Cricetulus griseus: one gene and its partners. The protein of the gene in region 3 interacts with the protein of the main gene of each other region in a pairwise test. Links are inferred from orthologs where the notes say so. Each region holds a gene or a part of one and is shown on either strand. Other genes may lie near its edges. The genes, in order: Dppa4, Ap1m1 and protein LDOC1-like.

Region 1 (3,753 bases), on a different chromosome or scaffold from region 3:
GTGATTGCTGGGAATTGAAATCAGGACGTCTGGAAGAGCAGCCAGCGCTTTAACCTCTCTGAGCCATCTCTCCAGCCCCACCCCTTTTCTTTCTTTTTAAAAGAGAGCTGGGAACTCTTAGACCTCAGGAGTACATACAGGCCTTTTCCACCCTTTTTCTATGCTTAAGGAAGATTTCTTAAGTTTTAGATAAAAAGACGTAGGACTAAGCATTCACAGACTCTCACCATTCTCTTTCACTGTCTTTTTCTGTCTCTTCCCCGTTGCTGGAACTTTTACAAAGGATGTACTTGGTTGACTAAACATCTGGCATTCCTCTTCGCAAGCCACTCCTGTGCTGCTGCACTGTGGATGGAGGAGTTACACAGTTATCTGGTGTCTTGAACCAGCATATCTCCTTCCTTGCTCTAAACTAACATCTATGGTCCTCATGAGGTCACTGCATATGGCTGCCAGTGTGAATTCTAAGGGGCCATCATTTGAATAAGCAGTCTGACTTAATGAAATAAGGAAACAATGGTTGGGGGAAAATGAGAGGGTGCCAGCAGGAAAAACAGGCTTGTTGGCAACACAATTTTAACCCTAGCACTAGGAGATTTGTCTTCTTCTTCAAGGACAGGGTTTCTCTGTGTGTAACAACAGCCTTGGCTGTCCTGGAACTCACCACAGAGTTCCACCCACCTCTGTCTCCCAGTGCTGGGATTAAAAGCGTGTGAACAATTTGTGAGTCCCCTGTGAGACTCTTTGAAGGAAAGAGAAAAAAAAAATACGTTGTTATAGTTGCAATCTTAGCCTTGGGCAGCAAGTGGAGGGTCACCAAGGGAGTTAGAAGCCATAATGAGCCTCAGGCCAAGTTGAGGCTAAAGAACAAAATCAAAAGTACAAGATGAGATATAAACAAAAGCAAAAGGGAGAAAGTGACAAAAGACAATAGAGTGCTAGTCTGCTTTTGGGGGAAAGCAGCCTGCATATTCCTCCATTTTATCTCTCACCCCAAAGATTGTTTTTCCCCAGACCTTGGTTCTAAGCCCAAAAAGTCTACTTCAATTCTTATACCTTACTCCTTTGGTCTCATTTCAAGTGTTATTTTGCTGGAATCTCTTTGCAGTCAATTAACCACATACTGCCTCATTTCTACGTGTCGACTGACTGCAACCATTCATGAGGTCCCTTCTGTGAGCAGAACTCCACAAGAGTGGGGTCTCTTGCCAGGCCACCTAAAACCCATGGCAGGAGAATGAGCACACCCCAACACTGCTCGGAACACCAGAACCCACAGGCTGGATGACCCAGAGACCTAGGACAGAAACAAATACGACTACGGGGGGAGGGGAGTTATCAATGTAATGGTGCCTAACGATATTCTGCTATACTCATAGACTGTCAGTAGAGAGGCTTCATCCAGCAACTGATGGAAACAGATGCAGAGTCATAGTCAAACATTAAGAGTTCTGGGAATCCTGCAGAAGATGGGGAGGAAAGATTGTAGAAGACAGAGGGGTCAAGATACTGCAAGAAAACTCACCGAATCAATTAATCTGGGCTCATAGGAGTTCACAGAGACTGAATGGAAAACCAGGGAGCCTGCATGGGACCTAGGTACCCTGCATAGGTTACACAGTTGGGTAGCTTGGTCCTCTTGGGGGATCCCTAACAACGGGGACAGGGGCTATCTCAAACTCCTTTACAGGCAAGGGACCCTACTCCACAGACTGGGTGGCCTTGCCCAGCCTTAATACATGGGGAGGTGTTTGGTATTACTGCAACTTGATATTCCACGTTTTGTTGATACTCATGGGAGACCTGCCCTTTCCTGAACCGAAAGGGCGGGGGCAGGCTTGGGGGGAAGGTTTAGGAAGAGAGGAGGGAGGACACCACCACTGGGTTGTAAAATAAACTTATTTTATAAATAAACTGGGTGGTGGTGGTGACCCGTGCCTTTAATTCCAGTATCCAGGATGCAGAGGCAGGCAGATCTCTGTGAATAGGAGGCTAGAGTGAGTTCCAAGGCAGTCAGGGCAGTTACATTGAGAAACCCTGTCTCAAAACAGCAGATAAGTAAATATATGAATAAAAGCAAACCCTGGTCAGTTTGCTCCCAAACGTAAGGCCTTTCCAAGCCAGACTTCCACCCCCAAGAGCAGCAGTGTGAGATAAATTAACATTTGGATGCTATTTTGCATCTCAATAGGAACTAGCTTCACATTCGCAATCCAGCTTTACATTTGCGTGTCCTTTTCACAAATAATTCAGTTTTAGACCTAACAAAATTTTTACACAATAAAGTTGGAAATGACGGGAACTTGGGAAGGAGACCTGGAGCACACTCACGAGTCTGGCTCCTGCAGTCAGGCACCAGCAAGGTTTGTCCCTCTGAGTCTGCCTTCCCCTTGGAAAGCCCTAGAAACCCTTCAGCTAGGATTCGTGGGCCAAGGCCTCTGGCTCTCCACCGGTATATAGCAGACAGCTATCCAAAAGCCTCTGGTTCATCTTACCTGCTTTACCTTGTGACCACTTTCCTCCAGCCACAGTACTCTAAATTCCTTCCAAGCAAAACATCCCTTTCCAAAACACAACCGCCCTTTCTACTACACCTACAGCAGTCAGGCCCTGGGGCGCCTCGTCTAAGGCCATAAGAGCGCCCCGCTGCTGAGCCCTACACCTGCACGGAACAAATTCTCGTTCTCTTCCTCTCCCCCAAACAAAGGCCGAGTGTGCACGAGACCCACCTATTTAGAAAGCTGAGCCACAAACAAAACAAAACAAAACAAAACAGCTCTCACCTCCTTGCTTTCAGCATGCTCCATCTTCAAATCAGATGAGACCGCTGAAAGAAGATTCTTCCAGCTTCCAAACGACCTCTGGCCTCAGTGAGCTTTTCGAAATCTCCTCCTACTTCCTGTTGCCTTGATGCTGTCTTCCGTCCACCACCCTCGTGATCCCACTCCCCAACAATTTTTGGTGCTGAAGTCTGGCGGTGGCAGGCTTTTTAGTGTTTAATGAAGACTGGCTTAGAACTTACTTTTGCAGCCCAGATGAGCTAAACTCCCAGGGTGGGTCTGCTCAGCCATAGAAAGGTGTGACTTAGAGTCATGAGCCGCCACACCCTGCTCCTGGGGAACTAAAAACTACAAGTATTGTTGGGTGGCACAAGCCTTTAATCCTGCCGTTCCGCTGCCTGAGACAGGAGCATCTTTCTGAGCTCCTAGAGGCCAGCTTGATCTTAAAAAAAGAAAAAAAAAAAAAAGAAAAGAAAAGAAAAGGGAAAGTGGAGTCCCAAAAGAATTCCGAACAAGCTGTGTGAACAGCCTGTCTAATTAGCGAATGAAATTAGAGTCCTGGATTTGAGGAAAACAACCCATTTCTCGTTCCTTGTGAATTCCTTTTCTGTAAACCACAGGGGGCTTGTTTTGTTTTTATGGTGATAGTGCTCTTGGAGAGCCTTGTTTATGCATACTAATCCGTCTACCACTGAGCCACAGCCACAGCCAATAAAATGACAACTTTTGTGAATTCCTTTCAGTCTCATGAAGTTCCGGCTGGCCTGGGGCTCAGAGAGATCTTCCAGTTTCTGCTTCTGAATGTTGGGATCAAGGGGCCTCACTACACCTGGCCAAGGTTTGCATTTCTGTTCTTCCTGTCTCAGCCTGCCCAGTGCTGGAATTCAGGCCTCTAAACCTGGTTTAAAACTGTACATTTCTATCTGCCTACTCTTAATAGTTTATAAAGTCCACTGGGAAGTGGTGGTACAAG
Region 2 (3,653 bases), on a different chromosome or scaffold from region 3:
ACGGACAGCAAGATCCTGCAGGAGTGAGTGCGGGGCTGACAGGAGCAGGCCACGTGTCCTGGACAGTGCAGCCTGGGATGCCAGCTCCCCACTTGACAGGGAGACCAGGGAAAGCTGCCACTCTGCTTTTCTGGTGGGGTGGGGTCAGTGGGTGGCCCAGGGCTCAGTCCCTTCCAGGTGCCCACAATGCTGACTACTTGACTCCCCGTTCCCACCCTACACCAGCACCTTGCCTCTGAAAGTAAATGTGTACAGCCCACTCACCATAGCCAGCCACACCATACCTAGTGAGAGGCCGCTCCCGGGAGCCTGCTGATGTGGGTACTTCCAGTGGTTGGGCCTTCCCTGCTCCATAGCCCCACCCCGGTGTCAAGGCCCAACATTGCATGTTCCCCTCTATAACTGAGTGGGTGGCCCCATAGGTACATCACTCAGGAAGGCCACAAGCTGGAAACCGGGGCCCCTCGCCCCCCGGCCACTGTCACCAATGCTGTGTCCTGGCGCTCGGAGGGCATCAAGTACCGGAAGAACGAAGTGTTCCTGGACGTCATTGAGGCGGTTAACCTCTTGGTAGGCCAACTTTTCCCTTCCTTTCCTAACTTGCCGCTTTTCCAGGGTGAAAGTCAGAGGGATAAGACTGAAAACCAGCAGAGCTGTCAGGTGTGTAATCCTAGGCCTTGGCAGCAGATGGCAGGGCTTAGTTTTGGCCATTGGAGAGACCCAGCCTCCCTCTCACTTAGAATCTGTAGGGACAACATTGTGGTGGCTTTGAGAGACTGAGGTAGGGGGACCTCGAGTTCTAAACCTTCCAGGTCACACTGTCTAAGAAAAACAAAACTAGAAGGGTCCCCAAGATGACTCAGCAGGTAAAGGGCTTCTCACAAAGCCTGACCATCTGCTTTCCATCCTGGGACCTATGGTGGGAAAAGAGAACTGACTCCTGCAAGTTGCACCTCACACATGTGCACTCACACACACAAATAATAATTACAACTTAAGAAATACAGGGCCAAGGAGATGGCTCAGTGAGCCAAGTTGCTGTTTAAGCCTAATGACCAAGCTCCATCCCCAGAGGCCTGAGAAAGGTGAAAGGAGAGAACACCACAAAGTTGTCTTCTGGCCTCCACATGGAGGTGGTGACACCCGACAAATACTTATCATATACACTCATACACAGTCAAAATAACATTTTAAGTAAAAAAATAGGTATATCAGCAGAATGCTTAGGTACAAGTGTGAGGACAAAAGTTCCGATCCCAGCACACGAGTGGAAGCTGAGTGGGGTGGTGTACACTGTAACCCCAGCACTGATGGTTAAGGACAGGGTAGCCCAGCCAAATGAGATCTCCAACTCAGTAAGAGACCCTGCCTCAAACAAAGGAGGGGGAATCATAGGGCAAGATACTTGATGTGAAACTGTGGCCTCCAGGCGCTCACACACAGGCATGTGCACACATGTAAAACCAAACTCATAAAGCATTATAAAGCTGGAAAGCCAGCTCTGTTACCAAGAGACCCCAAAAGATCACATATCCCAAGACTGCTACTTTTCTAGAATGCTGAGATCTTGGGTGGCTTGTGCTTTTGGGTTGTGTGTTCCTTGCTTGGTGTTTGGTGTTTGTGGTAGTAGGTGTGGACCCCAGGAGCTCTGTGCACAGGGTGTATTAGTTACTTGTCTGACTGTCACAAAATATCTGACAGGTGCAACTTCAGGGACAAAGGGTTCATTCTGCATCACAGCCTGTCACAGTTGGGAAGTTTGATGACAGGAGTATAGGCAGCTGTCACATGGTGTCCACAGTCAGGAATCAGATCGAAGAAGGCTGCGGTTCTGCTTGCTTCCTTCCTTTCACTCATCCAGAACTGCAGCTTGTGGGAAGGGGCCCTCACATGCTGGGTGGGCCTTCATAACTCAGTTAACCCAATCTAGAGACTCCCAGACCTGCCTCTACCCAGAGGTCTGTCTCCTGGGTGACTCTAGAGCTGTCAGGTGAACAGTCAAAAGTTACCATCACATCAGGCAAAACATTTTCATGGTGTGTGTGTATGTGCGTGCGTGCATTCAGGGGTGTATGTATGTGTATTTGTACATGTATGTATGTATGTACTTGTGTGTATCTGCATGAAGGGTGTGTATATGTGTAGTGTGTGTGTGTGTGTGTGTGTGTGTGTGTGTGTGTGTGTGTGTACCCACAGAGGCCAGTAAAGGAGTAGGGTCCACTGAAGTTGCAGTCACTGTTGTAAGCCTCCTGACATGAGTGCTGGGAACCTGGTCCCAGTGGGTTTTTTTTATTAGGTCTTGGATAGTGTATGCTCTTACAACCTGTTTCCTTTGGTTTGGTTTGTTTATTGTAGTTTGGCTTTTGTAAAAGGGTCTCACTATGTAGCCCTGGCTGGCCTGGAATTCTCAGAGATCCATTTGCTTTTGCCCCCAAAGTGCTGGGGTTAAAGCTGTGCACCTCCATACCTGGCCTTGGTTTTGTTTTGTTCTAGTACAAGGTCTTTCTATTTAGCCCTGGCTGGCATGGAACTCATGGAAATCTCTGAGCTAAATGAGATGTCTCTGCCTCTTTATTCAAAGCAAAAGAATTGAGCATGATGCTAAATACTGATGCTGACAGTCTTTTTCTCTAGTGAGCCAACTGAGCAGATGGTGAGAAGACAGAAAGGGGAACAGCCTGAGCTTGAAGCATCTGGCACTAGTACAGAGAGTCCACATTGAGTAAGACAGACAGCACTACCATACTTGAACACACAGACATCTGCCTGCCTCAGGTTCCCAGTGCTGGGACGACAGGAGTGTACCCCCACGCCTGCTGGCTCTTCCTCTATCACTGCACTTCCCTTTGTATTAGTTGCTTTTCTCCTGCTATGGTAAAACACCGTGACCAGGGCAGCTTATTAAGAGAGAGTTTACTGGGCGTATGGTTTCTAGAGGGTTAGGGTCCATAATGTCAGGGCCAGCATGGCAAGTGGCAGACATGGTGTCTGGAGCTGAGCGCTGAGCCCTCTGGCTGCAAACATGAAACAGACAGTGTGAACAGGGAATGGCATGAGGCTTTGAAACCTGAAAGCCCATCCCCACCATTCTCCAGCAAGACCACACCTTCTAAGTAAGCCCCCCTGAACAGCACCAACGGGGGACCATGTTCAAATGCCTGAGGCTGAGGACGGCATTTCTTTCAGACCACCACACCTTGTCCTTCTACTTGGAATCTGCCCACATCTTAATCAAAGTGAGTTCTGGTAGGAGCATCATTTTTTTGTTTGTTTGGTTTTGGTTTTGGTTTTGTTTTCCGAGACAGGGTTTCTCTGTGTGGCTTTGAAGCCTATCCTGGCACTCGCTCTGGAGACCAGGCTGGCCTCGAACTCACAGAGATCTGCCTGCCTCTGCCTCCTGAGTGCTGGTATTAAAGGCGTGCGCCACCAGTGCCCAGCAGGAGCATCATTTTTAAAACCTAACCTGAGACGGTGCCTAGTAGCACCCATCTGTCTTTCCAGAAACTAGAAGACTGAAGCAACAAAATCATAATTTTGAAGCCAGTCTGAGTTCCATAGTAGACTTTACCTCCCCCGCAAAGGAAAATCCATTTTGAGTGAGAAAGAAAGAGAATGTGTTTGAATGCAAGTGCATGGTTGCTACAGTGGAGGTC
Region 3 (2,568 bases):
ATCTGGAGTTACTCCTGTGGGCTAGGCATGTTTGCAGGCATTAGGGACAGAGCAGCTGGCAAAGCTAAGCCCCTTTGCTGCACTGACTGACATTTCAAAGGGGACGCACCTGATGATATTTAATATAATAAATACTACGTAGGTAAGTGAAGTAAGGGTTGGAGCTGTACATGCCGACAGACAATTCACATATAGATGAGACAGTTTGGGAAGCCCTTTCTCAAAGTAGTATAAAATGAGGTAGGCAAGTAAAGGGGGAAAGATAGCTAGAAGGGACAAAGGCTCTGAGATTAGGCGAGATCTGCTTGATGTGTGCAGGAATTAGCAGGCGAGGCAGAGATTAGGACAACAGGAGGTCATGTAAAAAGGGCATGCAGAAGGAGGTCCTTGTATGTTACGACCAAGGGTTTGCTTTTTATTCAGAGCAGCAGAGAGGGAAAAACTGCTGGAGAACGTCGAAATGGGGAGTGAAAGGCTCTAACTCACATTCTAAAAGTGTTCTGAGGCTATTCTAGAGAATATGCAGAAAAGGGGAAGAATGACAGCTAAGGGATTAGATGTAGCAGACCAGACCGTGAAAGAAGGCTGGGATCGAGGTAGCAGAGATGCCCGGAAGTGACTGAATGTGGAGATGTATTTTAAAAAGCAGACCCAATAGCTATCAGCTCAAGGATCCTGGACCAAACTTAGTTATCGACAACTAATGACGTTTAAAATAGGCAGACAAAGTTATTTTACAGAGCTCATCACAGTTTATAACTTAGGAACAAAGGCACTGATAACAGGAATATGGAAAGAATCAAAGATAGAATGTTGGCAAATGGATACTCTGTGCAGATTTGGAGATCTTTTGGTGAAATTGTCTCAACTGAAGAGAAGCCCCTGTTGACAATTACTTATGTATTTAATGAAAGCACCCCTTGCAAGTCTTGAAGTCTCTAAACTCAAATGATCTCCCGCAGTATGACCCTCAGTGTCAGTGTTATTTCTCTGGGTGAAATTTAAACAAGCAAGGAAATGTGTTAAGAAAGCATTACTCTAAAAAAATGTTGATGGCTGCAGGCCCACCGAGGAACACTGTATTGGATGAACAGGTCGGCTGCAGAGAAGTTTAAGCTGAAGCAGGCCAGCCCTGAGTGCTGAGCTTCTATGCTCGCACAGCCCTCCACTGTGGCAGGCTTGGCTCCCCCAGCGTTTCTTCATCAGGCTGGGGGAATTGACAGAGGCCCGGGGCGATGCTCCCTTGGTCACGCCTTCCTCCTCCTGGGCCACGTCCACTCGGTCCGTCAGTCCCACCCTGGCCACACCCCCACGCCACCAGCACTCCCCTCCGCCACGCCTTTCTCACCGCAGTGCGCTGGCGCATTGGCTGCCAGAGTGACCTTGTGGGTGGAGCTTCCGCCACCAGCTAGACCCCCTCTGCGCAGTGCCCAGGGTCAGCACTCCTCTGAGGACACGCACTTCCTCTACGGCCTCCTTGAGCAGCTCCGCGGAGCCGATCCGAGCCCGAGAGCCCGAGACCTGCCAAGCGAGTCACCATGGTGGACGAGCTGGTGTTGCTTCTGCACGCGCTGCTGGTGCGACACCGCGACCTGTGCATCGAGAACAACCGGCTCATGAAACAGCTGCGGCTGCTGGTGTGTGAGCGGGCCATTCTGCTGCGCCAGGTACGTCCGCCCAGCTGTCCGGTGCCCTTCCCCTCACCGTTTAATGGCGAGAACGCCCGGCTCCCCGAGTTTATTGTGCAGACGATGTCCTACATGCTTGTGAATGAGGACCGCTTCTGCAACGACGCCATGAAAGTGGCATTCCTGATCAGCCTCCTCTCCGGGAAAGCCGAGGATTGGGTGGTGCCGTACATCCAGACAGATAGCGCCATTCTCTGTGATTATCGCGCGTTTGTTGAAGAGATGAAGCAGTGTTTTGGCTGGTATGACGACGAAGATGATGATGATGATGATGACGACGACTGTGAAGCGGTTGATTGCTAGGCCCCGAGCCCCCTTAGGCCTACATGAGGAGGACCCTGCACGCTGCGTCCTCCCTACCCCCACCGCTACTCCTGCTGCCTCCGTGCCCCCCTTTGCATTGCCATTCTCTTCCCTGCCAATCACTTCGCTCCTTCATCCCTTTTAGTGCTTGTCTTTGTGCCAATTACCTGCTACGAGTGCTTGAGTTGGGCCTGGGCCTGGCTCTGAGGTTCACAGTGTTCAATTTTAACCAATCCGGGCACCTTTCTAATCTGAACTGTGTTTTGAGCTCCAGCCATTGTCCAGGCCTGTGTTAGAACTCGTCAGACCACCTGCATTCCTGCCGCTGGCTTCTGATGGATCGCCATCTACATCTGCCAGAAGTGGATGCCTGTCACCTCACCCCCCCCCACCACCACCCCCCACTGCATCTCATCTGCAGCCATCCACTTTTCAAGATATGGACCAGGAAGAAGATGATGGAGTTGGCTACATCTATTCAGACTCTCATTTGGACAGTTCACCAACCCTCCTAGAAGGGGCCATTCTTACAGCCTGGTTAGTTCTGTACCTACTTCCAGGTTCCTCCTCTGCCGGA

The links.
Region 1: the proteins of protein LDOC1-like (region 3) and Dppa4 interact in binary tests that used the Homo sapiens proteins (3 or more experiments, as listed by UniProt). The two-hybrid records come from large-scale screens. The link is inferred for Cricetulus griseus from reciprocal best matches to the Homo sapiens genes LDOC1 and DPPA4.
Region 2: the proteins of protein LDOC1-like (region 3) and Ap1m1 interact in binary tests that used the Homo sapiens proteins (3 or more experiments, as listed by UniProt). The two-hybrid records come from large-scale screens. The link is inferred for Cricetulus griseus from reciprocal best matches to the Homo sapiens genes LDOC1 and AP1M1.

The regions. Positions count from the first base shown.
Region 1 is NC_048597.1:42,777,667-42,781,419, forward strand, and holds the start of Dppa4 (developmental pluripotency-associated protein 4), read right to left. Parts: upstream 2,808-3,753; coding exon 2,784-2,807; intron 346-2,783; coding exon 228-345; intron 1-227. UniProt on the Homo sapiens protein: May be involved in the maintenance of active epigenetic status of target genes. May inhibit differentiation of embryonic cells into a primitive ectoderm lineage.
Region 2 is NW_023276806.1:247,005,757-247,009,409, forward strand, and holds part of Ap1m1 (AP-1 complex subunit mu-1), read left to right. Parts: coding exon 1-23; intron 24-422; coding exon 423-570; intron 571-3,653. UniProt on the Homo sapiens protein: Subunit of clathrin-associated adaptor protein complex 1 that plays a role in protein sorting in the trans-Golgi network (TGN) and endosomes.
Region 3 is NC_048604.1:11,336,504-11,339,071, reverse strand, and holds protein LDOC1-like, read left to right. Parts: upstream 1-1,538; coding exon 1,539-1,991; downstream 1,992-2,568. UniProt on the Homo sapiens protein: May have an important role in the development and/or progression of some cancers.